Linked DNA regions of Caenorhabditis elegans. The protein of the gene in region 2 purifies or fractionates together with the protein of the main gene of each other region. This does not show direct contact. Each region holds a gene or a part of one and is shown on either strand. Other genes may lie near its edges. The genes, in order: upp-1, ZK1307.1 and pfn-1.

Region 1 (10,556 bases), on a different chromosome or scaffold from region 2:
GTTTTTAACTTTTTTAAAGTTATGTTTGATTTAATGTTTTTAATTTGGAAATATTAAATTTAAAAAATGAGTTTGAAGGCATGATGCATCCAATAATTATTTATGGTTTAAAGCATGAAAAAAACATTTATTTGATTTTGAAATGGATTTTTATTCTTCAAATCAACTGATATCATTGAAGAACATCTCCAAGTTAAAAAAATATCCCAATTATTTTTTATTCAAAAAAACGTCTTTACCCTTACATTTTCAGCATCTCTTTGCTCCACAGTCACATGTCACTCATTGGCAACTTGCGAGCAATCTACTGGGGTTTGTATTTGCCGAGATGGTTTCATTGGAGACGGTACAACAGCTTGCTCTAAAAAGAGCACAGCTGATTGTATTTCTCTTCCGTCTCTCTGTGCTGACAAGGCAAAATGCGACAATTCAACAAGATCCTGTGAATGTGATGCTGGATACATTGGAGATGGATACGTGTGCTCACCGCATCCACAGGATTGTGTGCTTCGTGATAACTTGTGCTCGCCAGAAGCTGTCTGCCAGAATAGAAGATGCCAATGTCTTCCAGGATTTACTGGAGATGGAGTCAAGTGTGTTAGTATTCACGAAAGAGCAAGCAACTGTTCCCAATGTGATGCAAATGCTCATTGTGTTGGTGGAACTACCTGCAAGTGTAATGTAAGTTTTCTTTTGAAGTAGATTGATAGAAAACATAAATATTTTCAGCCAGGCTACTTTGGCAACGGTCTCTGCTGTGTACCTGATCCATTAGACTGCGTCCACTTCACTGGAATCTGTCACCCGAACGCAGTATGTAATTCGGAATCCCGTCAATGTCAGTGTTCTTCTGGCTTCTCTGGAAACGGAGTTTCATGTTTCCCACAGAAATCATGTAGAACTGACAAATCAGTGTGTGCGAAGAATGCTATTTGTCTTCCAACTGGAAGTTGTATCTGTCGTCATGGATTTAAGGGAGACCCATTCTATAAATGTTCTTCACTTGTTTCAAAGGGTTTGTTGGTTTTTCCAAATAATTCCAAAACGCATTAACCTTTTAATTTCAGAACCAGCTAACCAACAAGACCTTTCTGATGTGAGCTCGTGTGTCACACCATGCGACTCTTCCACTCAACTCTGCATCTCTGGAGAATGTATTTGTAAATCAGGATTCCGTCGGAACTCGACACTTTCCGGCTCGGAGACGTGTGCAGACATTGATGAATGTGCGGAGAAGTCTCATAAATGTGACCGAGTTGCTACATGTAGAAATACATTTGGATCCCATGTTTGCACATGTCCAGATGGGCACGTTGGAGATGGAATCACTTGTGTTCCACATGTCAATCAAGGAAAACTTTCGGGTCAGTATTGATACCAACTCGAACTTCTTTAAATTAATATCGCAGTTGGTTAATTATCAAATTTTCAGTATACTGTGAAGCTGATGGAATGACATTGGTACTTGGTAACGAGACAGCTGACTTTGAAGGGAAGATATTTGTGAAAGGACAAGCTGAGAATCCATATTGCTCGAAATCGTTCAGCTCATTGTTGAACTCTCGCAAGCCATATGTTTTCAAAGTCGTTTTCCAACATTGTGATGTACAACTTCTCGATAATGTAATTTATTTTGATCTTACTGAAAGCATTTTTCAATATTCATTTTCCAGCATACTATGGCGTCAACAGTGGTTGTACAAAAACATGCAATGTTCTTGACGAATAAGGTAACTTTTATTTATTCAATTGTGTATTTGTAAAAATGAAAAACATTTCAGGCCGACTCCTACGACCTCCGATGCCAATACCCAATTGGTTCCCGTGCTGTTGAATCTCATGTGAATGTTTCTGAACTTGCTACAACCTCCACACTCACAGAAAAGAATTCTACACTTGCTCCAATCTGCAGATTATCAGTTTCAAATGATCAACATTCATCAATCAGTTCAGCGATGGTCGGCGACACTTTGAAGCTTGCTTTGGAAGTTACGCCATCCGAAAACTTTGGCATTTTGCCAAGAAACTGTTTCGCAATCAATATTGAGAGTGGAGAGAGATATACATTGACAGATGACATGGGATGTGCTATTGATGAGTCATTGTTCCCACAATGGTCTGCTGCCACGTCATCAAAAGTGCAGGCAGTATTCAGAACATTCAAATGGCCGGACAGTTCAATGATCAGATTCCAATGTGACTGTAACCCTTGCGTTGGGCAATGTTCTACACCAACATGTATTTCATCAGCAAGATTTAGAAGGCATCAGACGACGTCACCTGTTGTGAACGACGAGATTCGTCAGGAAATGGTTTTGGTATGTTAAAGTAAAGCCAAAAATATTTGCATTGGTTATTCTAATGCCTAGATTCGATCATTAGTGATCGTACACATGTTTTCCAATTAGAATGCTTAAAGATCAACTGTTACCCAGATGCGGAATTTTGGCGCTTTTTGCATCAAAAATATTCTGTTCAAAAAGCGAGAAAGAGCGATAAAAGCTAGAACTTACAGTACTCCTAAAGGCGCACACTATTTTGCACTTTGAAAAATCGGACGCTTAAATCGGACCGAGTACTACAAAACCTAAAAACTTTGCATCCTGGCAATAAATACGCGTGATTTGGCAAAACAGATACTAATGCAGGCACGAGGCAGGCGTAGGTCGTAGTGTAAGCAGATATACATTTTTGCGGCAGTCTTACTAGATCTCATTGTCACTTCAAACATTTCTTCTAAAAACACATTTTCCAGATGTCCGGAGTTGAATCCCTAGCAGTTTCATCTATCATCAATGTCCATGATTCTCATGATATGAATACATCTGATGACGATGACGTCACATCATCCCATGTGGATGCCACGTCAAAGGAATCAAAATCGATTTGTGTGAAAATGGCTCCACTACTCATCGCATTGGGCTCATTTGCAGTTTGCTCAGCGATATTACTGTACTTGTGCTCTAAGAAACCAAAAACAATTGATCTGGAATCAGAACTGAGATTCTAGATTGATTGTTTCAAAATATTGTTTTGGTAATTCATATTTTCGTATTTTCTTATCACTGCACTGATAAGAAATCTTCAATCACTTGCTACATACTTGTTACATTCCAATATTTTTGTTATTTTATTTACCTACTTTTTTATTCTTTAAATCCCCCAAAACTTCTCTGAAATCTCCGACAACACTAACAAATTGCTCAGGGTTTTGATCGAAACCAAACAGAATTTTCTCTTTTGTTTTAAAATTTTATTTGATAATTTCTAATTTTCTAAACTTTTTATTTAATTATCGTATTTATCACATCTCTACAGCTTTTCTCTACCATTACGTGTGCCTCGTTTTCCAATTTTTCTCAATTTTCTTTTAATTTGTGCCTTTCCAAAAAACCCTTGTTTTTGCGTGTTTTTTTCTGTGATTTTTTTTCTGTAAAGTTCTTCAACATGTCTTCCATAAATTATCAAGATAATTTTTTTAAAGAAAGAAAATCAAAACCTTTATTTATTTACATAAACTTTCTTTCATATTTCGACTGAAATGAAACCAAACAGAATCACATTATTCTAGAAGAGAAGGGTTAGTTAGAGAGGGGTGCATTAGAGAAAATATATGAATACTATTCGTGTGGTAAGGAAACATGGAAAGCAATTAGTTGAGAATCTTGATTTTAAGATTATTAGATCCCGGTCTGCTTGCGAATGTAGGCAGTTACAAGGCGGAATGGACGTTCCTCGTATTCAATATATTGCTCTTTGGCGATTTGAACCTATAAATGTTATAATTGAAGACTGTCAATAAGAATCAAAATATTACCTGATCTCCATCCATACGATTCAAAAGAGTGACGCAGACAATAGCAGACTGGAATCCAGCGCGACACGTGAAGCTGGCGAAGCAAGTTGACTCCATCTCAATATTTCGTACTCCAAGAGCATTTAGCTTCCGCAAGAAAGCATACTTGTCTTCTTCTTCGTAATCGCAAAAGTATCCATCAAGACGCATCTGTCCCTCATAGAAATCGTCGGCGCACATGGTTTTTCCAGTTTCAACTGGAATGCTTTTCTCTTTTCCGACTTCGCAAAGAGCCTCGCGGAGTGCGGCATCGAGTTGAGTAGGCCGCTCAATTCTTTTTCCTGCGATGATTTGCACATAGGTATCTCCAAGCTCAGCATTCATGGCTTCAGTTGACACAACAACAGTTCCTGGTGGAACACCGACTCCTCCAGATGTTCCAAGACGAATGAAAGTTGGGTTCTTAACACCAGCATGGTGCATCAACTTGAAAGATTCGACGAGCATGATGCTCAAAGATGGGGTTCCCATTCCATGCTGTAAATTTATTTTTGTCAAATAATTGTCGCCTCAAAATAACATACGTTGATCCAGCAAACTGGTCCAGTTTTGTAAATCACGAAACGGTCAGACCGTGAGAGATTTTCAGAGCATGGAATATTGGCCTCTTTGGCAAACCATTCAGCATACAACTTGAAACGTCCTGGAGATCCTCCAGTGCAGACGAACTGAAATTAACTTAATGATAGTGCAAATTATTATTCACTAAAATGATTCAATTTCGGCACACAACACCTATAAAAACAAAAAAAATCTTCCGTTGCGGGGAATCGAACCCCGGCCTTATGAGTGAGAGCCATAAATCCTAACCACTAGACCACAACGGAGCGTGTTTGACACGTGCAGTAAAGACATAGACATTCCTATGACACGAAGGGCGCTTGTGTAACAATTGGCTAGAAGTATTACCCGCCCTAGGAGAGAGATAAACTTATCAGTGAGGAATATGTAGCTCTTGAAAATTCTAGATTCGTTTTGTGTTGGTATCGATTCAAATTATATTTACCCTCTATTGAAATTGGACACCAGGAGGCGCGTGGCTATGCAAATTTATAATTCAAAAAGAAGAAAACTCGCATGACAACTAACGGGTCAAAAAATTGAAGAAATAAAAGCGCCAAATGAATGAATATATTTTTGTGTTTGTTCTGTTGATCGATATGTATGAATAGAGAAAACTGTTGCATCATTCTACCTGGGAAGTGAAGACATAAATGGATTATTTCTCATATTTTTTGGAACATTATGAATCACCAGCCGTGGACCGCACCTACGGCGCGGCCCCCGACTTCTTTGAGAAAACACATTAGATATACGGTGTCTATCGCGGACCTCGATCGATGCCTGCTGCGCACTTAGCATAAGGTTTCCCAAAATTTCGTTGCTCTGATCAGAGATCAAACTACATAGGGACAGAAGGACACGCGCTTTATATATAGTAAACGATTTTTAAAGTGGAACATTTCTCGAAGATTAGGAGTGAACTAATATTAAAACTAATGAGGGAACTTTTTCACTTATTCAATTTTTTCTAGACTTTGTAGAACCAACCTTGGTATCTCCAAAAACTGCTGGAATATCGAGAGTGTCGACTCCAAAACCAAAGTGATAAAGAAAATCTCTTTTATCCTTGATATCGAAGTACTTGTTTGGCTTCTCCACATTTCCGTTCTTGACAAGTCCGTTCATCTTGATGGATCTGAAAAAATTCCAACTTATAGGAATGAAAAAAAAAACTTCATGAATAAAAGAGAGCAAAACAAAAACAGGAACCAGAATACGCGTGCTAAATGTCGTCAGTATCACATAGAATAAGAAAAGGGCACTCCAAAAGAGACGAGGAGAGAGCAGAGAGAGTAGACGGTTAGAGATGCTTAAAAAGGACTCAAATCCAATTTGGACAACTCGTGAGCTCCAGGCTACGTGATAAATAATAAAAACGAGAAAAACGAGATTCTACCTTTGCTACCAAGACTTTTAGTACACCTCAGAGAAAAATTGAAATTTAAAAGAAAAGTGAAACAATTATTTTTCAATCTGAAATAAGCAAAATCACTCTAATATATAAAGACGAAAAAGAACTCACAAATTTCCAAATGAAAATATTGAGAAAATGAAACTTTTATTCCGTAAAGCAAGTAACCTCGAAACTCCTCCCTTTTTATCTATCTTTTTTTTTGTTTTCGTCGAGAAAATGGGCGGAACGATTGGAAATAGATGGAAAGAAAAATTATTTTGCGGAAAAAAGAAAGCGTGGTGATGTAACAAACAGTTTCTGTGAAGAAGCTTCGACAAGTCAGAAAAATTGAGTAAAAGGACAAAGTTTTGAAATTTGAGTAAAAAAGTCAACAGGAACTGAACTTTCTGAGACAATAAAGACAAACAAAACGATGGTGACGCAGTTTAGAACAGTTTCCACGTGGAAAATCGAAAATCTCCGATTGTTTTCAACGAAGGATTTGCTTTTATTTGATTTAAACTTTTCGCACCAGCAGTTTGTTCAAGCACCACATGATATAAACTTTGGATATTAATAGTAATGAATTATCTTACTGAAAATATGAAGTTTTTAGACTTAAATGGAAGAAATTCGATGATTTCGAAGGAAAAAAATAAATTCGCGAGAGTTTGAAAACACCTGTCGTAAGATGTAGCGTAAGTGTGCAAACACCGACACGTCGACATGCAGACAGATAAAAACGCGCGAACTTTGAATATTACAATTTTGCGAGAATCTTTTTTGTTTCAATTATTATTTTAAAAGTTTGCGGTAAGAATACAGATAATAATAATCATGTCATTCTGATCTCCGCGTTCAATTGTTTCTTATCTGCACAAAAAGTTCTTTCTCCTGATAATGCTGATAATTCTTGCTGCCAACTTTGTTCATTTATAGTTTTATGGTGTTGATTGTTCAAAACTACGCTTTTAGTGTCCCCAGTGTTTCATCTATTTGTCATCGTAAATAAAAGGCTAGTTCCTGAACACATTGACAATAAATTTCAATCATGAAAGATGGCGAGATTATAACAATGATTCTGCGAAAGAGACAGCACGTGGCGCAAGAAGATGACGAAAAAAGACGGAAATGATAAAGTCAACGGGACACAGTTATGAGGGGTGATCTTATCAATTGTTATCATGATTTTTAAGTGACACTGAATATTTGGAAATTCGGTCTACAGTAGTCTCACAACGTCACAAAAATCGGTTGCCGAGTTGCCGAAAAAGGGCATGAGTTTCAAATGCGAAAGATTTTTCGTTTTTATGGGTACTGTAGTTTCCAACTCGTCATTTCTTTCAAAGCTGGCTTCTTCCAGTTTTTTGAAACCTGAACAAAAATTTATTGAGCATCGTTCTCAAATTTTCAAATTTTGACTGCCAACATATTATTGTTAGAATTCAAAAAGAAACGTTGATAATTTCAAAAGATTCAATTTTAAATTTGCAATCTCATCAAAATGCTAAAAATAAAGTTTTTGAAAATTAATTTTATATCCTTTTTTGCTGAAAACTAGTTGTTTTCTTCTAAATGTCCTTCTGGAAAAAAATTGAAGAAATTGCAAACAAACAGGACATGGGTTACTGTATTTCTTAGAGGTGCACATCATTTTGCGACGTCTTGATTTTAAATAGAGAATTCGGAAAATGAAATAATTACATTCGAATGCAACTCTACTGATAGAACTTAGTCGCCAATTTTGTCATGACTTACCCATAGATTATAGACCAGAAAGTTTCAAGGTGAGAAGATCAAATCAGGGCGAATTGAAAATATGAAGGGATCTGTATGTTTCTTTTTATTTTGCCGAAACCTTTTGGCATTGACGGAAAGAAAAAAAAAACATTTATCATTTAGTCCCACGGTTTATCGGACACACTATCTTTTATTCGGTCACACTTCACCCCTTGAATACCTCGCATATCATTTTGCCAGATCTTAGAATAACATGCCGGAAAGTTATTAATTACCGTGGTGTGCGGGGAAGGCATCGTCCCGTGAAGGAAATATAAAACAAATGTGGTGTTTGAATGAGACTTTGAGAGGAAAGTTACGAAAATCGTAAGAATCTGATAGTTTTGAAACTTCAAACTTCGAAAGTTTTTCGACCAGATTCTTGAATAAATATAAAAAAGAAAAGCTTCTTATGGATGTCGGAATGCCAATTCCCACGTGCGGCAAAACTTCAAACAACCCCAGTTTTCAGAGTACCCTAAATTGATCTGGAATTTTTAAGCATAAAAATTGGAAAAATCCACTTCAATTTTTAAATTATTTATCAAAAAATTCCACCGCTGACCCAAATCGACACTCAAATGATGTTTCATACATTGTTCGATTCATGATGGATGTGAACAATAACAAAAACATATTTCATCTTAACATTAGGAAGACCAGAAGACTGTGGCATTTGTATTCCAGGGATTTCTTCTGGGCTGTTCCATCGTTCCATTAGAAAGGATTATTTAAACATTCAGATCATTCTGTTCAATAACAAGAACTGAACTACCTTAACAAAAATAGAGAACACTGAAACTGAAATATTTGCTTACTATATCCAAAATCGTCTCGCTGCGAGACCTATTTGAATAGATCAGCGCGCCTTTAGGTACAACTCTCAAAAAATCGAAATTGCATTTTGAAGTTTTTCAAGCAAATGCCGAGATAGGCGGCAGGCAGGCACGCTTCTCTTAATCAAAGTCAACATTTTAAACCACAACAAGAAAAATCCAAGGATTTATTTATTGTATACAGTCTTCAGCATGATATAGCTAAGTGCTCAAAGGCATCACTTTTGTCGGGGAGCATGCTGGGGAGATCTCGGTGAGCTCATTAATGAATCGCTTGATGTCCTTGTTTACGGGAGCCTTCTTTCCGCCACGTTTGCGCTGAAAATTGAAATAGTTATAGTTTATCTCCAAAATAGTAACTTACCGAAATGTAGTCAAACACAATTGCATAGATACTAGCGTATTGAGCAAAAGATTCGACTCCTCCTGGACGCTGCTGTTTGATATTCTTCATGATCTCGCAAATCTGAAATAAAATTATTGTAAAGCATTCAACTAGGTTTTTAGTTACATTGGGCTCAATTCCATTATTGAGCTGGTTGATTGCGTAGAGAGCACCAATGAAGCTGCACGCACGGCCGCATCCGAACAAGCTGACCACGCAGACTCCAGCGTTTTGTACCTGCTTCTCCGAAAGAAATTGGTGAATCATTTTGATGATCGGAAGAGTTTTTGGTGGTTGCTGCAGATGCTTCCATGGAGCATGATGATGAACCTAAATTTGATTTTTCCTGTTCATGCTATGTTCTTGAGACCATACCTGGCATATGACAGAATCTGAATTTCCTTCGGGCAATACTTCAATCGTATATTCCTTTGGATCTCCAGAAACGTCGGCACGCCGATTGTTGATAAACATCTTTCCAGTGTACTGATAGCCACCATTCTCGTCGTTGAACAAAGAAGTCGTGGTGTTCTTCAGCTTGTCATCCGGGACCATCAAGTAGACAAGATGTATCTGTTCCTGGTAGATCATGTACCAAAAGTCTTCCACGAAACTTTCGTTTTCCATCTGGGGAAGTTGGGCGACGATTAGCTTGTGCTCGAACTGGAAAATGACAAAATGTAGGACAACAAGATGCACCGTAGGCAGGCACGCAAGCCATCCTTCTACTTACATCTTTCAAGGTGATGACACTGGCGTTGATGTAGTTGACATCCTCGTGTCCTGGACGATTCAGTTGAACCCGATTTTCATCGTAGATCTTCGGACACTGAAATTTTTTATATTCAGGAAAACCTTGTTTCCAATCAGCTTACCCCTTCACGATTTCGAACTTTGTTTGCTTCAAAAGCTTCAGTGGTCTTGTTGCAAGCGAGTCGAGGAACCCAAATTCTTCTCGAATCTTTTGGATGTCTGAAATCAAAGTTTATAGATGATCGGTAGACTCCTCCAATAGCTCTTACCATTTTTCTTGTTGCAGAAGTTGAGCGCAGAAGGCATTCCCAGCCACATCTTTGTTTTCTGCTTCGAGTGCTTCATATTTTCAGTATTCTTTTCCGATCGGGAGTCCTTCTTCTCTTCTTTCTTTTCCTCTTTCATCCCTTTCTCTTTCAGCTCTTCCTTTTTGATCTCAGACATTATTGTGTCTGGCGTCTGTGCAGGTGCGTCCTCCTCCGTGTCCACTGTACTCAAAAATGAGCTTTTCGTCTTCCGAACTGACTCCCGAGAAATACTTTTGTTAGTTGGTGCATTGCACTCTTTCTGAAATTATGAAACAATTATCATGAATCCACTGGAGAGCCGAAAGCCTACCGAAATTGAGTTCTTGATTCCTGTGGTGGACTTTTTACGATTCCTGAAAGCTGTCTTGACTCTGGAAGCTTTCGAGGGACCTTCTGCGCCGCTGAAACATCATTTTTTGCAACCATACAAATTCCGAAAACACCTCATTTTGCTATTTTTCTAGCGTACTTCTCTACCTTTCTAGTTTTGAAAATTAGATCAGCGCTAGAAAATTAAATAATTGTTTAAAAAACTCACTCAACAGTCTTCGTCCCTTTCTTCTGATCATTGCTAGCGTCAGTACTTTTGCTCCTCCGCCGAAGTGTCCTCTTCACTTTTTGAATCACTGACTTCTTCTCCTTCTTTTCCATCCTTTGTTACTTTCTTCTCAAATCAAAATTG
Region 2 (10,545 bases):
ATTCAATATTTGGTGTCTTGGATGTCATAATCATGTTGGAATGGGAGTACGGTACAATGCAGAAAAAAAGAAAATTGGAATGTACTACACGACACCGCTTCACGAATTTCGAATGAAATGCCATCTTTGTGATAATTATTATGTGATTCGGACCGATCCAAAGGTATTTTCTAACTTAAGAAGTGGATGTAGTCTTTAAAAAAATATAATTCAAATTTCTAATTTTATCTTCAAAAATCTTCAAAAAAAATCATAACTTCAGAATTTCGACTACGAACTAGTGGAAGGATGCTCACGACAGGAACTTCGTTTCGATCCAACCGACATTGCACAAATCGGAGCAGTTGATCGTGGTTTTACTCAGAAACTCGCAGCAGACGCAATGTTTAAAAAAGAACATGAAGCAGAAGATAAAGATAAAGCAGCTACTGAAGAAGGACGAGTTGATAAGTTGGAATGGATTCAAGAGAGAATGAGAGACGATTTTACAGCAAATTCGTTTTTGAGAGCACAGTTTAGGGTAGGTTTTTTTGGCTTTTTAAAATCCATTTTTGGGAAATGCAGTTGATTTTTTTTTTAATTCTTTGAAAATTTTCAAAAAATTTATTAATTTTTCTTCAATTTTCAGAACGAGAAGAAATCCCTCAACGAAACTCGTGCTCGAGATGCGAATCTTCGTGATAAACTATCCATTGGAACGACTCAATTATTACCAGAAACAGAAGAGGATCGACGGATAGCGTCTATGATGACAAGATATCGAGATACAAAAAGTGAGTTTTTGCTTCTTTTATATCATTAAAAAATATTTACAGCTTTTAATTCCTGTTCAATAAAAACTATTAAATTACAGCTCACGATGATCACCTCGAATCTTCCCGCGATCGAATCGAATCACGTAGGATCTTCAGACGACCGGAAGAAACTGACACACCATCCACGTCTTCTGGATCTTCTGGAGGCGCTGTTCCATCCGCTTCCGAACGATTGAAGGCTACAATGAAAGCAGAGAGAGATAAACGAATCAATGCCTCATTTTCAACTGCTGGAACATCATCCGCGACTCAGAAACTTTTAGGAATCAAGAGAAAATCAGCTTCGTCTCTGGGTGTTCAAATTAAAAAAGCCGCTCCGGAAAACTCAAGTCTCCAAGATGAAGAACCTGCAGTGGAGAAGCCAAACATTTCAAACCCAATCTCACTTATTGCTCAAGAATACGGAAACTCGTCAGACGATTCAGATTAATTATTTTATCGAACGTTTAGCTGTTTTTTCTCTGTGAGAATTATCTTACTAATAATAATAAACACCCAGAACAAAAATTCCAATCTTCATTTTTACATACAATGCTCAGTTTAAAAATATCTTGTTTTTCTTTGGTGTATTATTCATTCGGCAGCAGACAACTTGATGACTGTCTCTCCAGAAAGCTCTCCTGGTGGCACTCCATTTGCGAACAATGGTTTTGGATCCGTGTTCTCATCAACTACCATACAGTACTGGATGATCAACTTGTCGGCTTGTGGCTTTCCAGGCTGAAATTTCAATGAAAATTATTACATAGAAGTCCAAGAATGAGAATTTCCGCCATATCTTCCGCGCATGGGTCTCACCATGCTGACAAAGGGCTACTGTAACTCGTGTCATTTTATGGGTCGCGATTGTATCATACGTTGATTAAAAAAATTTGGAAGCACTATTTCATTCGATATGAAAGTTATAATGCAATAGTGGAGCAAAACGTTGCGAAGTACAGTAACTTATTGTCAGCGTGGTGAGACCCAAACTTTCATCTTTAAACGGCTTCGTAATAGATTGTGTTCCTAGATTTAGAAAATTTATACCTTTCTGGTGATGACCAATTCCTTGACATCGCAAACTTTCAAGATTCCATAGATTAAGTTGACGCTGTAGTTTGAGTTGTTTGAGGATTTTACCTGACATGGTATTTTCAATTGACCAGTTTTCCGGCAAATAAAGAACCAACCTTATAAGCCATATGGCGATCGGTATGATTGATCATCTTGTGCTTCGAAACTCCTCCATTGGCCTGGATTGGGCACACTGGTGGATCCAACGAAATTTCGACTCCCATTGCGGCTGCACTTGACTTGGTTTTAAATCAGAACAAATTCTAATCGATTGATTCGGACGTTCTGTTTTACACGTGTTAAGATTTTATCAGCTGATGTTTTTTTTTGAGAATATGGAAGGTCGCGTGGAAATTTGAAAAGTTGTGAAAACGAAAATTAAAGTGATTTTATTAATTTGTGAAGTAATGGCATTGAGGAACAAATAATAAAATTTTCAGAAAGTTAAGTAATATCTTAACCAAACTCGTTCTCGAGATAGTGTCTATCCGTTGGACCGACCCAATTTTTTTTTCAGAAACAGAAGAGTTTCTGCTTCTTATGTATTATAAAAACTACCTATCTATGTATACGACAACTATGTTAAATTTCATCTTACGATGGTCACCTTGAATCTTCTCGCGATCGAATAGAATCACGTAGGAAATTCAGGCGACCGGAAGAACCTGCAGTGGAGAAGCCAAAAAATTCAAGGCCAATCTCATTTTTTGATTAAGAATATTGAAGCTTTTCAGATTCAGATTACAATTCCCTCTGAGAATCAACACTAATGAAAAGAAAAATAAACCCAGAACAACAATTCCAATCTTCATTTTTACATACAATGCTCAGTTTAAAAATATCTTGTTTTTCTTTGGTGTCATATTCATTCGGCAGCAGACAACTTGATGACTGTCTCTCCAGAAAGCTCTCCTGGTGGCACTCCATTTGCGAACAATGGTTTTGGATCCGCGTTCTCATCTTCCACCATACAGTACTGGATGATCAACTTGTCGGCTTGTGGCTTTCCAGGCTGAAATGTTAATGAATTAGGTTCTTATGTTCAGAAATTCGATACCTTTCTGGTGATGACCAACTCCTTGACATCGCAAACTTTCAAGATTCCGTAGATCAAGTTGACGCTGTAGTTTGAGTTGTTCGAGGATTTGACCTGAAATAGTCTACTGTAAAATTGGCTATCATGGCTGTGCGGCAACCGGAAACTCTCGGTTGACGAAGCTTCGGCCCAAGTTGCCAAAGTTTTGAAAAAAAACTTATTGCCAGTTGCCAAAGTTTTGAAAAAAAACTTATTGCCAGTTGACGTACACCCCTGCTGTCTATATCCTCACGATAAGTAAAATACCAACCTTAAAGGCCAAAATTTTGTCGCAATGATTGATCATCTTGTGCTTCGAGACTCCTCCATTGGCCTGGATCGGGCAAACTGGTGGATCCAACGAAATTTCGACTCCCATTGCGGCTGCACTTGACTTGGTTCTGAACTGATTCAAGTTCTAATCGACTGATTCGAAATTTCGGGTTTACACGTGCCAAGATTTTATCAACTGATGTTTTTTGAGAAGGTCGCGTAGGAATTTTAGAAATTTTTCAAACAAAAAAATTGAATTAATTTTATTAATTTGAGAAAAAAACAGAAGTAAAAACAACAAATTTAACGTTTTCCAAACCAATTTTTCGAATGATCCGCGTATCCCCAGACTCCATCGTAATATGGTCCTGAAAATTCGAATATTTAGGTCTTGAGGTTTTTAAAAATAATCCAGATGAACAATGAGCTCGATAATTTATTTCGACTTTACAATTTAAGGCTTTCTGAAATTTTCAATACGCGCGCAAATGAGGAGATTTGGGTCTTGAGAAGAGTGAAAGTTTGCAGCTACTGTACCACAAATATATTATATATTAGCAGTGATGTTCAATACTTTTCTTGTAGAAATCGGGCAGACATATGAAGAAAAAAAAACATATTTTCAATATATTGTAAGTACTCACCGTATCTTTCCTGCTGTAAAGTTTCGAAATCCGTAGGCGCTGGCTGTCCGTATTTGTTCTTGTGGAATGAAATTTCGTGATAATAATTACGATAAGAAGCAAATGAATAAAGTGGAGGAAGTCCTGAATTATAGAACTTGTCTCTATAAAACCCATAACTATCAAATCCTCCATTTGTAGGTCCTATTCCGAATGGTCCATAGCCATAGTTGTTTGTGAAATCGTTCCGTTTAACTCGAACATTTTGACTGAAATTTCTTGAAATATAAAAGAAAAAACTAAACTAAACAATAACCTTTCAAAAACCTCTGCATCAGAATATCCAATAAGAAACAAAATTCCAGATAATAAAGTAATCTTCTTCATTTGTTGAAATACAGAATATAATATTTTTTCTAGAAATGAATACCACAACAAAATACCCAAAAGAGAGATGAGAAGAAAAGTGATCAGTTGTAACATTACAATTCTAGAATTTCTCAGTGCCACCCTTACCCTCCTACCGGTTCTAGTATCTTTCTCATGTGATTTTTGTGGTTATATTTTCCAATGAAGATCATACAAATTGAAAGCTGAAAAGGTTCAAAACTTATCTGAATTTAAAATTAACTTGAAATTTAACTCGGGAATCCGTACTTTAACGGTAAAGCAGTGAAGTGAGAGAAAAATCAGAATTTTTTTTTTTGAAAAATTTTACGTACAACACTGATTTCTCGATAGCTTCACAATGCTATATTATAATAGCATCTTTTTTACTTGACTCTTTTTGGCTTAAGCTCAACCAAACTCTCAATTTTTTAGACGGCTTTTTGAAAGCCAACACTCCAATTTGAAATATTCCAGTAAACGCTTTATTTATTCAAAACTTCATCAAAGATTCACTATAAAAATTCAAATATCCAGCCATCAATTCATCCTATCACAATTAGAGCAATCTGAGCACCAAGCACTGACAAGCTCCACCACTTTTCATAAATTCACTCATATCAACTTCTTCGACACGTTTTCCACGAGCCGACAGATAATCCTTGGTTGCTTGAGAGACACCGATTGGGGAGATTACGGTATCACGAATAGTGATGGCGTTGCACACGAAAGCATTTGCTTCAGCTTCGGAGACAGCAATCGAGTTTGGAAGACGACGGAGGATCTGCACACAAAAAGTTTTTTAACTAGGGATTTCAAAAAAAAACTCACCTCCTTATTGGTTGCCTCAGAGAATGCAGGTGGGTAGTAGAGGGCGCTGGTCTCATCAACTGGAGCAAAACAAGTGTCCAAGTGATAAAAGTTTGGAAGAATCATATCACAGAGAACAATATCAAAAGTCCCGAGTGCCTTGATTTTCTCGTAGACAGACTTTGAACTACGCTCTCCATAACCAGCCCAAAGAGTTTTACGGTCAGAAAATACAGCATCTCCTCCGCCTTCGAAGATCTGAAATTTTATGTTTCAAAATGGAGAACAAAAATTCTCTGGCAAATTTATACCTCTTCATATCCTTCCCCAATAGTTTTGATATTGTTCTTCTTGAACCATTCCAAGTAGAGTGGTTGCTCACCGCTTCTGTAAAAACATAAAATGTTTCACACACAATTTCCTTTATTCTTTTTTCAAACTCACCTTTCCTTATGCCTGAATCTGGACAAGTAAACCTGATCATCATAGACCAATCCACTATTACAAACGAAAACTTGATCTGGAAGACCCTCTGTTTGCTCCATTGTCAAAACTGGAACACCAGCGTTTTCGATTGCAGATTTCAAAGAATTCCATTGCTGATGAGCTTTTTGCTTGTCAACAACTCCTCCCATCCATGGATTGATTGTGTATTCGACTGTGAAATGCTTTGGTGGAACCATCAACACTCTCTTCAGAATATGGGCAGCAGATTTTGCAGCAGACATTGTTTCAGACTGAAAATTCAATTGTTTAATTAGTTTTCAAAATCATTTTAACTCAAAAAGTAAAACCAGTGTTTCTAATTTCCAAACTGACAATTAAATAGGTCCAAACTCACATCAGACATTATTATATAGCAGGTTCAATATCAAATAACTATTGTTAATAGTCTACTCGAAATTGAAATGATGCACCGAGCTAACTAGTATCTTATCAGTTTTTATATTGATACGATTTGTTATCAAATATTGGTATAAAGGTGTTAGCAGCTAGTCTGCAAAAAGTTCAAACTTTCAAAAATTATAACACCTGACAAAAAATTTAAATTTTCAAACAATTTTTAGTCGTAACTTTAGAAATTTAACAAATATTCAAGGAGGAAGTTGAATGTTAAACTAGATAGTTCAAAAAGTAGAACCAAAAACGCGCGAGAAAATAAAAATAAAAGAATAACAATGTACACCCGTGGTCATTTTATTATCCTCCCTCCTTCTTCCCCGAACCCTTGTAAATCTTTCAATATGTCTTGATGGCCTTATTACGTCACAATACATATTGTGATTGCAGATCTTGATTGATAAAAATTCCAAATGAATTATGATCACAGGAAAAATGTTTTCTCGGTGTCAGGTGCCAGGTGTCAGGTGCAGGTACTCAAAAGACACCGGCAAATGAATTCCAAAGGTTTGTGCTTTGAAAAGCTCCAAAGATCCTTGCTATGCAAAATATGTCAATGGAAAAAGAAAATAAACATTTTTAAAAGAAAGCTTTTATGAAAATTCCATGTAAAAAACGCGAATTGGGACTTTCCAGGTATCCAGAAAAGCTTTAATTTTTGAAAGGTTAAGAAATTGATATACGCGTTTTCCAAATATCCAAGGTATTCTTGTAGTTTCCCCAATGCATCATTCAAACCAAGAGAGCTAGACGCAGAGAAACCAGATTGTCTGTCATCTCTGCGTATCTTTTTCCCGATACAAGCTACAGTGTAGTCTCACGGTGTGGAACAAGTCACCACGTTGCTTTACTTCTCTAGAACTATTATTTTCCCACGTTATTTTTGCATCTATCTTCATTTCCCACTTTCTTATCACTGCAAACCGAACATAGATCACAGTTCGTTGTCTCGAAAACTTATAAAACCACACGGTTGTTTGTGCAATTTTTATTTAATTTTTTAAACGGGTTCTCAAAGAAAAATTGCAGAAAATATAACTTTGATCTACTTTATCGTTCCCGCGAATATTTTTCAAAACATCTTTTCCAAATCTACACTCAACTTACGGATTTTTGTCTTGCAGATTTCCGTTCGCCGTGCCCAAAAATTCGAATTAATTTTGGAAAATGCCAAAACTTCCACGTATCGACTTTTATTTTGACGTGATTTCTCCGTACAGTTATATTGCTTTTGAGGTTGGTTTTTTTTATATACGATATTACATAAAAAACTGTGGTTGTACGCATGTGTCGATGGTTCTCTTATCCTAGGAAGTCAGGAATTTTTTTTGAACAGTGTTACGGTACAATAATATTTTTTAGTTTTAAAATTCGTAAATTTATTATAGTTATAGAAATTATGCAATGATAAATTGCAGGTCTTCCAAAAACTGGAAACCCAATGGAAAGGAGTAACAATCCGTTACATTCCATTTTTCCTCGGAGCCGTCATGAAAGAATCAGGAAATCGTCCTCCAGCAATGCTCCCAGCTCGATCAATTATGATGATGACTGATTTGAAGCGAACTGCAAAGTTCTGGGATATTCCATTGACTCCACCACCATTGTTCATGGAATGGATCAAAAAGTACCGTACTACTGGAGCAATGAAGGTTTTGTTGGTTTTGCAGGAGCAGGATAAGGAGCTGATGCTCCGAGCAGCTCGGGAAATGTGGGTCAGATTGTGGTCTCGAAGTGAGAAGATTTTTGAGGATCAAGACTTTGTGGAAGTATTGAAGGCAGTTGGTGTTAAGAATCCGGAGCAAATTGTGGAAAAGAGCAAGGATGAGAAATATATAAAGATTTTGATGGAGAATACGAATAAGGGAGTTGATTTGATGGTAAGTTATTCATCTTTGAATTAAAAAAAATTGGCAATTTTACTTTTTCAGGCATATGGTGCTCCATGGATCAATGTGCACACAGAAGATGGATCGGAGCATTCATTCTTTGGATCAGACCGTTTCCATTTGATTGCCGACCTTCTTCAACAGCCACAACCGCTTCCAGACCGACTTTTTGGCCAGAAATCAAAACTTTAAATATTTGTTGTAAGATAAGATGCGCTAAATATATGAATAAATTGGGTAAATATTTTTAATTAACTCTCTCTGAAACAGTCTGACAATCGACATAATCATAGATTCAAAAACTACAAAGAAAAATTCCAAAAAGATTTGAATCTAAAATCTTTTAGTTGGCTGCACTCTAGGTTACTTTTCAATTTTACGAACTGTAAAATATTCCAGAAAATTAATTATATGTTCAAAGTTTTATTCAAATTACATCTGCACTGTTAGTTGTGGGAAAAACCCAAAAAATCACAAATCAGTTGGCCTTGATCAATCCGGCGAACACTTGATACAAACCCCAGGTTCCATCCGGCATTTGCTGAAAGTAGAAAAGCTTTATCTACTTTAGATAATAAAAGTGTACCTTTTGGGCAAACTTCTCGCAGTAGTTCATATCTTGCTTGACATTGTCGGTTCCAATGACGCTTGGTGGAACTCCCATCTTAAATGGATAGGGTTAAAGTTCGGATTTGAATTTTTGGATTTTATCAGCAGTGAGCCAATTCTGATTCTGATATGACTTACATCATAGATGACATAAGCCCATCCTGGCTTATTGATATAGAAGTTGAGAGCCTCTGACATGGTTTCGATGTCATTGTAAGTCTTAACAACCGTATCGATTGTTGCAGAAACAGTGTCGTCGATGCAGAAATCTGAAAACAAATGAATTTCAGGTTTACTCTAGAAAAAGAGGAGCTCACTGAAATCATCATCATCGCGCTTGGTTGGAGTGCCGCTGATCAGCTCAGCATGAACCTTGACTCCAGATTTACGGGTGTAGTGACGGCGAACATTGTAGGTTGCTGAAATATATGAAAATGAGTTAGATAAAGTTCCACATATTTTATTTCAATTATATTTTTCAAAACTAGGAAGTGGCTTTCAATATTTTTTGAACGCTAACTTACGAACTGCAGTTGACTGATTGGCAAATTGGAAACGTGCAGCAACCTTGACGGATTTGCGGTCAGCACAGTGAGTGATGCACCAATTTGGTCTGAAAAGTAGAAATGGATTTTTTCATCTGGATTTGAATAATTAAATTTAAAATTATTGATTAAAAGGATAAAACAATTCTAGATCAGACACTCTGACTTTACATGAATTCTTAATTTAATCTTGAAAAGGAATATACTAACCTCACAAAATCCAATCCAGAGGATCGGAAATCTTGAATTGGAACTGCATCCTGTGTGGATTCATCTCCAACTGGAGTATAATTGCACAAATTTCCTCCTGGAGCAGAAGTTTGTTGAGCAAAAATTGCTGGAACTGCTAAGCAGGCAAGGAGAAGAAGCTTCATTTTCCTAAAAACTCTCGATAAAAATGAAAAGGAAACTATACTCAAAAACGTTTCAAAGCGAGTAGCAAATGGTCAAATTATCGGAAGTTATCAGTTAAAAACTGAAATTTTCCACATCACCGGCCTCCTCTTTTGCCAGTTGAATGTGTTGATAACGGAAAATAAAGAGTGGAAAATTAAATATTGAAAAATCACTAATGATTTCATTTTGAGAATAATAAGAATCAAATATTCAATGTAAAACTTTAAATAGTTAAATCGTTTATTAAAAATTAAAAGAAAAAAATCAATTAGCCTTGATAAGTCCTGCGAATACTTGATATGTCATGTAGGTTCCATCCGGCATTTGCTGAAAAATTTGTAAAATTTGGTGAGGTCTAATTTCTAATTCGGATACTTGCAGGTCTGGTTTTGTTGCATTTTACAACATTTTCTGAGTACTTACCTTGTTAGAAGACTTCTCACAGTAGTTCATATCGTGTTTGACATTGTCAGTCTCAATGATGCTTGGTGGTACTCCCATCTGAATATATGTATTCAAGTAGAAATAGTAGACACCTATATATTTTCCAAAAAAAAACTTGTGTAACTTACATCGTAAATAATATACGCCCATCCTGGCTTGTTGATATAGAAGTTGAGGGCTTCTGACATGGTTTCGATGTCATTGTAGGTGTTGACAATAGTATCAATCTGGGCCGACACAGCATCGTCCATACAGAAGTCTGAAATTTTGACATGTATTTATACCATAAGATGAAATCACTTACTAAAAGGATCATCGTCACGCTTGGTCGGGTTTCCGCTGATCAGCTCAGCATGAACCTTCATTCCTGAATAACGGGTGAAAGTACGGCGAACTTTGTAGGTTGCTGAAAATTCCCATTAAATTCTAGGATGTTTACTGGTATTTTCATAATGTTCCAAATGTTTTTACATGTACTTTAGTGTACTGATCTATGTTAACTTACGGACTGCAGTTGACTGATTGGCAAATTGGAAGCGAACAGCAGCTTTGACAGATTTGCGGTCAGCACAGTGGGTGATGCACCAATTTGGTCTGAAACTTTTTAAATTAAGATATTCGGCTATTTATGTGGTTCAAAAATTGGTAATCGTTTAGTATCCCACTGTTGCCAAAGTATTTTTCTGGGTCTAACTAGTAAGACCATCAAGAGTTGGCTCAACA
Region 3 (10,556 bases), on a different chromosome or scaffold from region 2:
ACATTTTTATTGATTTTTTGCAGAACTCAATTTTTATAAATAAAAATTCAATGTTCTTTCAGATGAAAGTCGGTGAAATCGCAACATTTCACGTGAGTGGCAAATATGGTTACGGCCGCGCTGGGTTCAGAGGACTGATTCCTCGAAACGCTTCCCTAACTTGCAAAGTTAGGCTGTTCAATTGCTCATGGGACTCATATGGTAGATTTCTCCTTATTTTTGAGTTATAAATCTTAATATTCCCTCTTTTTCAGCAAAAATTGGCGTCGATAGACAGATTCTCGTCCAGGGCGACAACGTCACCAAGTCAAAGAACGGTCAGACCGTCACCTGCCACTACGTGCTCATCCTTGTGGACGGAACGAAGATCGACTCTTCTCGCGACCGCGAAACTCCATTCAAGTTCAAGATTGGAAAGGGAGAGGTCATCAAGGGATGGGACCAAGGAGTCGCCCAGGTTTGTACATCGATTAGCTCAATTTCAATATAAAAATTCAATTTTCTTTCAGATGTCAGTCAAAGAGAAGTCGAAGCTCACGATTGCTCCGGCTTTTGGCTTTGAAAAAGGCAAATTGCCAGCAGGAATCCCAGCGTAAAATAAAACGAATTGGATACATGCTGCGTACTTTATGAACTACCGTAGCCAGGAGAAAAATGTTTAAAATCAAAACTATGGTATTAATTTTTGTTCACTTGTTGTTGACACGATTGCCATAAATTTCAATTTTTAATTAAAATGCTTTGAAATTTTATTAATTTCCTTGTTTTTTTATTTATTTCTATCGAGAGAACTCATTTTCAACGATTTCCGAGAAAGAACAAATTTCTCTGAAGAGACGCAGACACTTACCTTAAAGGCGCATGCAATTTCGCGGCAGCGATATCTCGCCACGAACAGTGTCGCGCCTTGTTCGATTTTACTCTCGCCTCGTAAACAACCCATTTTTGCTTGTTTTTCACCGATTTTTGGTCATTTTTCAGAGTTTCTTATCGAAAAAATCATGTCAGACGCCCACTTTTCAATGACAAATAGTTGTTCTTCGAAAATTCAGTGTTATTTTGGCCTAAAATCGGCTAAAACTCTGGTCATCAGATTTTTGTTTACTTTGCCGGTTTTTTCCTGTTTTAGGCCATTCTTCTGGAGTTTTCTATCAAGAAAATCAGTAAATCAACTGAAAATCAGAAAAGCAACCTTATTTTCGAGGCAGAATTATCGATTTTTGAAAAATAATTGTTATTTTGGCCTAAAAACAACTTGAACTCGCCCTTGAACAATTTCTTCCTTTTCTTTGCCATTTTCTCTTTATTTCTGAGTTATAAATCTTAATATTTCCTCTTTTAGCAAGAATGGGCGTCGACAGACAGATTCTCGTCGAGGGCGACAACGTCACCAAGCCAAAGAACGGTCAGACCGTCACCTGCCACTACGTGCTCACCCTTGAGAACGGAAAGAAGATCGACTCTTCTCGCGACCGCGGAACTCCATTCAAGTTCAAGATTGGAAAGGGAGAGGTCATCAAGGGATGGGACCAAGGAGTCGCCCAGGTTTGTCCATCGATTAGCTCAATTTCAATATAAAAAATCAACTTTTCTTTCAGATGTCAGTTGGTGAGAAGTCGAAGCTCACCATCTCTGCCGATCTTGGCTATGGACCACGCGGAGTTCCACCACAAATCCCAGCCAACGCAACTCTCGTCTTCGAGGTCGAGCTTCTCGGAGTCAACTAAGCTGCCCGTCTCCGTTTGCAGCTCCGTTTTAGCAGCTGCCGTGTGCAACCTCTCCATAAATGATATCAATTTTTTTTAATGATTCCAAGTTTTCTTTCTTTTTCCCCCCTTAATTTTCTCTGTAAACTAAATATTTCTTCCTATCTAAGTAGCATAAATTATTTAATCTTTAAAAACAAAATGGTTTTTCTCTGTGCGTGTTGACGTGGCGTTTGTGTGTCCTTGAAGTCGAAATCTCCGATTACCTTGCCAATTTTACTCTTTTATTCTTTTCTTTTTCACTTTTTTGCCTCACAATTCATTCGTAATTGTGTGCGCGGGCGATCCTTGCGTAGCGCCCGTCTTTCTCAGAAGACCATCTGTTCTCCATTTTCGAAACAATTCAGGCCTCCTGTTCATTAGAAATACACAAGACGAGAGGCGGAAGACGCCTCCCCTTCGATGATTCATAGTTATTTTTATCATTTCAGATTCCTCCGCCCAGTGGGATGGTTTAAAAATCATTGAAATTCGCCATTTTTACACATCTTTTCTTGAAAAATCTCCTCTTTTTTGTCTCCAAAATTGATTTTTCAGTTTTTCCGACGTTTTTCCACTAGAAATTGGCAAAAGCCAGCGAAAATTGAGCAGAATTTAGCTAAGAGTACGGTAGTCGCCTAAGTACGCAGAGTTGCGTACGATGCATTCCATTTGACGCGCAAAATTTTCTGATCGCGAAAAAAGATTTTTGACCTCAATTTTTTGATCTGCCCGCCAATTTTCGTCGTGTTTTTCGAGAACTGGTCGAAGAGGATGACAATTTCTTCATTTTTCCACTTTTTTGGCCGGTTTTGTGACGTTTTTACCGATTTTCCGCAGGTTTTTCACAAAATTCTCGCGTTTTCTCCCAAAATTGATATTTCCAGCAGTTTTTTCCGCGTTTTGTCTCGGTTATTGCCAGAATATATTTTCCTCATTCTCTAGCAAATATTCGCTAATTTTCCTGATTTCCACCCTATTTTCTTCCGGAAAGTTCAGTTCGTTCCATTCTTGCTTTAAAACTGTAAGGAAGGAGCGGAAATAGGTGATTCAGAAAGAGTTTTTTATCAATTTTCGGCATCCGATAACGTCGTGAATCGAGAAAAATAAAAAAGCTATAAAAATTATCACATAGCGTAAGATTTCGACTAGAAAACTCTCAATTTTCCTATTTTTTTTGATGAAATTTCAGCTCACAGTGAGTGTTTTGTAGAAAAATGTAAAATTTTCCCCATTTTCCCCATTTTCCGCTTTCTGGAGTTTATTCGTTCGATTTACTGACAAAATCTTCGGGTTTTCTGCAATATTTATAGAAAAATCCGGCCAATGCTACGAAATTTCTGTTTTTCGCGGCTCTTTTGACTATTTCGTGACTTTTTTGGGGCTTCGATCATCAAAATTTCGAATATTTTTATGATTTTTGAGCATTTTGATGTATTTTTTTTCTTCTAAATGACTTTCAGATCTCCTTGGCAGAAAAAACTGCGAATATTATAACAACTTGAAGCTTCCTCGACGATTTTTGGCGACCTGCTGTTCCATGTGACTCACCATTCCAATTTCGCAATCCACTGGTCATTCTCGGCATTAAGATCCATTTTCAGCGCTCAATTTCGCAATTTTCAAAGCTAGAAAGCTTTGTTCAAATTGAATTGTTTCGCAACTCGTCTTCTATCGCCTTTTGGTTCTCTTTCTCCTCCGTCGTCTTCGCTGTGTTCTCTTCAAAATGATTCATCATTGGCTTTGGTTGTGTCTCTGGGTCTGTGTGTTCAATATAAATTGCAACTGCATTTGACATTAGTATGGATTGAGGCGGGTTATTTCACCCTCTTTTAGTAGTACACACACATTCAATTTGATGGGCGGTCTCTGTCTCTCTTTTCGTCCTTTATGGGTGAATAACTGACCAGCGGAGCAAGCAGGCAGGAGCAGGAGCACAAGCTCGTTGTTCGGGTTGAAAAGGGGAAGAAGGAGAGCACCAGATGGCATGCAAACATTCTCTTTCTCTTCTTCTCTCTATTGCTTTTCCTCACTGTCATTCACTGCTTCTCCATTTGCCCAGCCAATTAGATGGAGTGTTCCGGGTGGTCAAAGATGTCCTCTAGTTTTCGTAGCAATTTTCATCTTTCGGAATTTGAAATTGGAAGTTTTCTTTAATTTCTCTCAATTTTGGGTCATCTGGCGATTTTATGCCATTTTTCTTGTGAAATTAAATTCTCAGATTGCTCTAGATAGTTCAAATCCTCTAGTAGTTGAAAATTCGCCTCAAAACGTTGCTTTTTTAAAAAGAATTCTCCCTTAAGTTGGTCCTAATTTCTCGAGGCGAGATCTTCCAAAAGCTGAATTTTTCCAAGTTTTCTACATCTGAAACTCGAAATATTTACTATTTTCGTAGTTTTTGGTAGTTTTCGGTGTTTTCGAGCTTCAATTCCGCCTTTTTGGCCTGAAAATGGTCTGAAAATCATCGAAAATTGGTCAACTCTAGGTAAAATGCCAATTTTGGTTTAAATCGGCTCAATTCACAGAAAATTTCCAAGAAATTCATGAAAGAAGCTCAATTTTTGCACTACATTGGCGAGAAAATTGTGAATTTAGTGAGATTTTGTTGGTTTTTGTCATTTTATCCATTCGCAAGTTCTTCGCCACCAACTTACACCACAGATAAGCAAAAAATCTGCGGAAATATCAATTTTTGGGTATTTCGGCATTAAAATTCCATTTTTTGCGCAGTAAATCAAAAAATAATCGATTGTTTACAAAAACCGTAATTTTCAAGCGATTTTATGCTCTTTTTCTCCTAATTTGTGCTCTTTCTTCATATTATCATTTCTCATTACCCCTCCAACCATCTCAATCATAATTTATGTTTATTTTTTCAGTATAATCTCCGCTTCAACCTCCTCCAAAACACAAAAATGTCCGGATGGAATGCCTACATCGACACAATGACTGCCGCTGCTCCATCAATCAAACGGTGTGCAATCGTCGGAGCCGCTGATGGATCTGTCTGGGCTCGTACTGAGGCTGACAATGTGTTCAAGGTATGGAAATGGACGAAAATCATCGAAGAAGCTCGAGAAAAAATCGATTAAAACTGGAAACGATTGAAAAATCCTTAAATTGACCCATTTTTGAGATTGAAAAGAGCTAGCGGGGTCGATTTTTGTTGGAATTTTCGCATTTTGACCCAAAAAACTGAAAATCTCGCGAAATTATTCACTTTTTGAATTGAAAATCGAAATTTTTAGCCGCTGAATTTACATTTTACAGGAATAATTAGCAAATCCACTCAAAAATTGCAAAATTTTCATTATTTTTCGAACAAAATTAAAAAATTCCAGATTAGGCAGGCTTCAGGCGGCCGTGCCTGCCTACCAGCCCCTGTTTCTCATATAGTTTATACTTCTTCGAAACCCAAGTAGGCAGCAGACAGGCTTAGGCTACCTTGAAGGTCAGGCAAGTTACCTGCCTGACTACCTTCGAGGTGGCCTGCCTGATACCTACATTAGAGCCTACTTGTATTTCAGCCGCCTGAAGCCTGCCTACTCTGGAATTTTCTAAACTTTTTTTTTTCAGATTTTTCAATTTCATGAAAATTTAGAGTTAAAAAGCGTTAAAAAAAAAATTAAAATTCGAAGATTTTTTCCTGCAAAATGTAAATTCACAGACTGAAATTTGTGATTTTCCAGTATCTCGGCCAAGAATAAGCCGATTTTTTTGGAAATTTCAGTGTTTTGAGGCCTAAAAATGCGAAAATTGGGGAAAAAGGCTAACTTTAGGGTTACTGGATTTAAAATTTCGAATTTTTGGAAATTTCAAAGCGCAAATTTTTTAACAAGAAATATTTCCTGTCCAAAAACTTCTCTAATTTTTTCCAATTTCCAGGCATCCGAAGAAGAGCTCAAAACCTTCGTTGCCCTATTCAATGACGTCACTCAAGTTCCAGCAAAAGGAGCCGATATCGAAGGAGTTCATTACGTCGTTCCACGTACCGAAGAATCGCTCATCTTCGGAAAAAAGGAGAACACTGGATTCTTCGCTGTGAAGACCAAGTCTGCAGTCTTGATTGCTGTCTACGAGGGACCAAATGAAGTTGCTGCACAAGTTCGCAAGGCTGTCGAGAGTATGCAAACCTATCTCAACAATGCTGGATACTAAATACTTCTCTCTCTATCGATTGTTGTTCGATTCGTATTTATTCCCGCTTTTCTCTATTTTTTTTTTGCAAACTTCCCCCTTCTCCCTTCTCCCAAACCTTGATTTCTACGAGTACAACGATGAAATTCGGTTTTCTTCCGCGTAATCTTTCCCTCAAAACTCCCATTCCCAGAGCAAACACAGAAACAGTTTTTATTTCACTTTCAGCTTTATCATAATGTATTGTATTCCCCCGTTTTGTTTTCTAGTAAATTCATTGCCAATTCAATGCCTTCTCGATTATTTCATTTTCATCTCCCATCGACGGAGAAAGAGAGTGAGAGAAGAGTTTTGTGCTCGGAGCAATTATCGCGTGTTTTTTTCGAAACCACGCCCACACTGCAATTGTGCGGCGCGGTTTTTTGGTCAGAATCATTTTACAGATTTTTATCATCGTTTGCAAAAATCGTTTAGAGAAAAAAAACTCGGAAAAAGATGTCTAGAAAATGAGGGAAAAACAATTAAAAAGTAATCACATTTGTCAAATGAAATTTTCCACAATATCTTACGCGAATGGGTCTCGCTAGGCAGACAACACGGTTACTGTAACTCCTGTCGGTTTACAGTAACCTGTTGCCAGCGTGGCGAGACCCGTGGGAGTGAGATATGGCGGAAATTTTTATTTTTCGGCGTCTTCGTATTATTTTTTATGAGAAAACCCATAAGAGTACGTAAGAAAAAATGGCCGAAAGTTTAAGCTTTTCGAAAATATGGAATTTTTCTATATATCGGAAAATCATAAATTTTCGTCTCAGAAAAGGGTGCCGTTTTTCGATTTTTCAATGTTTTTAGGGAAAATTTTCGATTTTCCGAAAAATTTCATTTTTAGAAAAATCAAAAACCGAAAAAACTGCTCATTCCAGTATGATAATTCAACTTTTTTAAATTCATAATTAAAATATTACGTATTTGGCGCACAAGATATGTCGTAACGAAAACTACAGTAATTCTTTAAATGACTACTGTATGTCGATTTACGGGCTCTATTTTCGTATTGGATTATTTTTCAATGCTGGTTTCCTTTTCATAAGGAAACTCCCAAAAACGGAAAATAATATTTACGAATATCGCTGACACAATTCGAAAAGTGATTAATTTCGATAACCAAACCCGTAAATCGACACAAAGGGCTACAGTAGTCATTCAACGAGTTACTGTAGTTTTCGCTTCGAGATATTTTGCGCGTCAAATATGTTGTGCGATACGCATTTTCAGAACTTAGTGCTACCGTAATATAAACAATTGGAAAATGCTTTCCCTATCGAAAAGTCTGAAAATGACTTCAAAAACCGTTTCAAATCAATATTTATGCAATTTTCAATAGAATTAATCAAATAATCAACCGATTTCTGTAGATTTTGCATCAAAAATCGTAATTTTCAAGCTATAAATGCCTGGTTTTGAGTGATTTTATGCTCTTTCTTCATATTATAATTTCTCATTACCCTTCCAGCCATCTGAAATCTTTCATTTTTTCAGTATAATCTCCGCTTCAACCTCTTCCAAAACACAAAAATGTCCGGATGGAATGCCTACATCGACACAATGACTGCCGCTGCTCCATCGATCAAACGGTGTGCAATCGTCGGAGCCGTGTGATGTGCGGAAAGGTCCTGGAAATATTATTTGCCAGGAAATGTACTTAAAATGAACCAACTGCAGTATTACTCACACACGAAATTTGGCAATTTTTGCGTAAAACACGGTCTCGACACGACAAGAATGTTTTGATTTCGAAGAGTTGTGCGCCTTTAAATAGTACTGTAATTTCAAATTCTTCATGGTGCATTGATGTTATTTTTCTCAGAACACCTATTATACAAAAAAAAATCGATGAAAGCAACGAAAATTTAAAATTACAGTACACTTTAAAGGCGCACGTTTTACTCGTTTTCAACGAAATTTGTCGTGTCGAGACCGGGCTACCGTATTTTCGCCAAAAAAAATCACGTCGAGTCTGGGTAATACAATTTTTGGCCAAATGGCGCAGTGAAGAAATTCACGACTGAGAATATACACACCGGGGTTCGAGTCCGCACTGTGGTCGAAATATTTTTGTTGCTTTTTTTACATGTTTATTTTTTGGATAATTCAAGGGTGCGGAACTCAAAAATCAGTGTATTAAAGCCGAGAAAAGTCTGAAAAATCTGAATTTCAGAACTTTATGAAAATCATAAAAGTACTTAATTCGACCTATTATCTAATTTTTCCAATTTTCAGGCATCAAATCCTGGAGCAAATCGGCGGTCTCTGAGCTTGCACTGAGGCTGACAATGTCTTCGAGGTACGGATCGGCTGAAAAATTCAATTTTTTAGAAAAAAAAACTCGATATAAATTAAAAGATCTGCCAAGTTGCACAGTTTTCGAGCTCTCAGCACAAAATTTCAAATTTTCCAAAAAAAAATTTTGGAGTATTTTGGAGTTATCAGTGTTTTTAGAATTTGAAAAAAACCGGAATTTTTTTGAGAATTACAAAATTTTCAAAATCTGGATATTTCAGCAAAAAAAATCCAAATCGCAATTTTTTTTTGGAAAATTTGAAATTTTGTGCTGAGAGCTCGAAAACTGTGCAACTTGGCAGATCTTTTAATTTATATCGAGTTTTTTTTTCTAAAAAATTGAATTTTTCAGCCGATCCGTACCTCGAAGACATTGTCAGCCTCAGTGCAAGCTCAGAGACCGCCGATTTGCTCCAGGATTTGATGCCTGAAAATTGGAAAAATTAGATAATAGGTCGAATTAAGTACTTTTATGATTTTCATAAAGTTCTGAAATTCAGATTTTTCAGACTTTTCTCGGCTTTAATACACTGATTTTTGAGTTCCGCACCCTTGAATTATCCAAAAAATAAACATGTAAAAAAAGCAACAAAAATATTTCGACCACAGTGCGGACTCGAACCCCGGTGTGTATATTCTCAGTCGTGAATTTCTTCACTGCGCCATTTGGCCAAAAATTGTATTACCCAGACTCGACGTGATTTTTTTTGGCGAAAATACGGTAGCCCGGTCTCGACACGACAAATTTCGTTGAAAACGAGTAAAACGTGCGCCTTTAAAGTGTACTGTAATTTTAAATTTTCGTTGCTTTCATCGATTTTTTTTTGTATAATAGGTGTTCTGAGAAAAATAACATCAATGCACCATGAAGAATTTGAAATTACAGTACTATTTAAAGGCGCACAACTCTTCGAAATCAAAACATTCTTGTCGTGTCGAGACCGTGTTTTACGCAAAAATTGCCAAATTTCGTGTGTGAGTAATACTGCAGTTGGTTCATTTTAAGTACATTTCCTGGCAAATAATATTTCCAGGACCTTTCCGCACATCACACGGCTCCGACGATTGCACACCGTTTGATCGATGGAGCAGCGGCAGTCATTGTGTCGATGTAGGCATTCCATCCGGACATTTTTGTGTTTTGGAAGAGGTTGAAGCGGAGATTATACTGAAAAAATGAAAGATTTCAGATGGCTGGAAGGGTAATGAGAAATTATAATATGAAGAAAGAGCATAAAATCACTCAAAACCAGGCATTTATAGCTTGAAAATTACGATTTTTGATGCAAAATCTACAGAAATCGGTTGATTTCACATATTGAACGACCTAATAGATATATCTATTAGGTCGTTCAATAAGTTTTTTCGTTTTTTTCCAGTTTTTTCTCTTGGATATTTTCTTTTGCGGTTGTATAGAAATCTGTTAGTAATGAAAAGCCCAACAATATCAGCCATAGTCAACTTCCAGGTTATTTGAAACTCCGAACTATGATAACAAAAAAAATTTGTTCGAAACTTTTTCATTTCTTTGTGAAAGCAAAAACTTTGTATCCTTAGAGGTAATTAATATTAGACAGTTAGCTCAATAAAACTGTGAATTTTCAGACTCAGCCATACTATCAAAATTTATGAATCGATCCTTCGATTTTGCAAAAATCTTTGCCGCACAGAAAGTTGGGCGGAGCGTCCTTTCGCAACACTGCCGCGCGGAGTTTGCCCCCGGGCCTTTTCCGCTGCTTTTCTTGTTGATTTTTTCAATAAAGCTTCGATCTTTCTTTTTTTTGAATGAAAATGTTATCCAATTTCAAAAAAAAAAATCGAAACTTTATTGAAAAAATCAACAAGAAAAGCAGCGGAAAAGGCCCGGGGCAAACTCCGCGCGGCAGTGTTGCGAAAGGACGCTCCGCCCAACTTTCTGTGCGGCAAAGATTTTTGCAAAATCGAAGGATCGATTCATAAATTTTGATAGTACAACCCTAGCCGCAACGCATTCTTCGGCGCGTGCTCGCGTGTTTAAAGTCTGCAGGAATCTGCAGAACTTTGCAGGAGCTGTCTGAATAGCAGCGTGTGCGTCGCCAGAAGAAATTTAATTGTATCTTTGCGAAGAAGTTGCAACAGTCTTATGAGAAGATGCAGGGGTTTGTTAAGAAGTTAAAACATGAAAAGATGGCTAAGAAGTTGCAAAAGTGTGCTATGAAGTTGCAACGTTTTACCGAGTAGAGCCACTTTTCCATAAACTGGTATTTCTGGTGGCCCTAGAGCCACTTTTCCATAAAGTCGTATTTTCAACTTAGTTACTGATCTATTCAACATGCCAGTAACGTCACTTGGAAC

What was found.
Region 1: the proteins of ZK1307.1 (region 2) and upp-1 fractionate together in Caenorhabditis elegans (co-fractionation; one large-scale study listed by BioGRID). This does not show direct contact.
Region 3: the proteins of ZK1307.1 (region 2) and pfn-1 fractionate together in Caenorhabditis elegans (co-fractionation; one large-scale study listed by BioGRID). This does not show direct contact.

The regions. Positions count from the first base shown.
Region 1 is NC_003281.10:7,637,547-7,648,102, forward strand, and holds upp-1 (Uridine and thymidine phosphorylase), read right to left. Parts: upstream 5,556-10,556; 5' UTR 5,546-5,555; coding exon 5,408-5,545; intron 4,686-5,407; exon of another isoform or gene 4,602-4,685; intron 4,525-4,601; coding exon 4,381-4,524; intron 4,334-4,380; coding exon 3,818-4,333; intron 3,771-3,817; coding exon 3,681-3,770; 3' UTR 3,488-3,680; downstream 1-3,487. Other genes in the region: fbn-1 (EGF-like domain-containing protein), read left to right, coding at 254-681, 730-1,015, 1,068-1,364, 1,433-1,623, 1,674-1,730, 1,782-2,318, 2,756-3,010. UniProt on the Caenorhabditis elegans protein: Catalyzes the reversible phosphorylytic cleavage of uridine and thymidine to uracil and ribose-phosphate or thymine and deoxyribose-1-phosphate.
Region 2 is NC_003280.10:9,649,643-9,660,187, forward strand, and holds ZK1307.1 (Amidinotransferase), read right to left. Parts: upstream 5,939-10,545; 5' UTR 5,890-5,938; coding exon 5,881-5,889; intron 5,777-5,880; coding exon 5,484-5,776; intron 5,427-5,483; coding exon 5,351-5,426; intron 5,298-5,350; coding exon 5,061-5,297; intron 5,014-5,060; coding exon 4,789-5,013; 3' UTR 4,703-4,788; downstream 1-4,702. Other genes in the region: ZK1307.9 (Coiled-coil domain-containing protein 130 homolog), read left to right, coding at 1-163, 263-520, 629-773, 854-1,245; ZK1307.4 (motile sperm domain-containing protein), read right to left, coding at 1,389-1,535, 1,845-1,937, 1,988-2,095; ZK1307.3 (motile sperm domain-containing protein), read right to left, coding at 2,737-2,883, 2,929-3,021, 3,218-3,325; ZK1307.2 (uncharacterized protein), read right to left, coding at 3,523-3,587, 3,864-4,111, 4,159-4,229; gstk-1 (Glutathione S-transferase kappa 1), read left to right, coding at 7,107-7,175, 7,358-7,819, 7,871-8,020; ZK1320.2 (uncharacterized protein), read right to left, coding at 8,307-8,369, 8,415-8,492, 8,576-8,706, 8,755-8,856, 8,962-9,050, 9,193-9,356; ZK1320.3 (uncharacterized protein), read right to left, coding at 9,643-9,705, 9,802-9,879, 9,951-10,081, 10,127-10,228, 10,328-10,416.
Region 3 is NC_003279.8:12,917,380-12,927,935, forward strand, and holds pfn-1 (Profilin-1), read left to right. Parts: upstream 1-4,624; 5' UTR 4,625-4,660; coding exon 4,661-4,786; intron 4,787-5,630; coding exon 5,631-5,903; 3' UTR 5,904-6,169; downstream 6,170-10,556. Other genes in the region: fkb-8 (peptidylprolyl isomerase), read left to right, coding at 63-201, 255-457, 510-596; fkb-2 (peptidylprolyl isomerase), read left to right, coding at 1,348-1,545, 1,599-1,727. UniProt on the Caenorhabditis elegans protein: Binds to actin and affects the structure of the cytoskeleton. At high concentrations, profilin prevents the polymerization of actin, whereas it enhances it at low concentrations. By binding to PIP2, it inhibits the formation of IP3 and DG.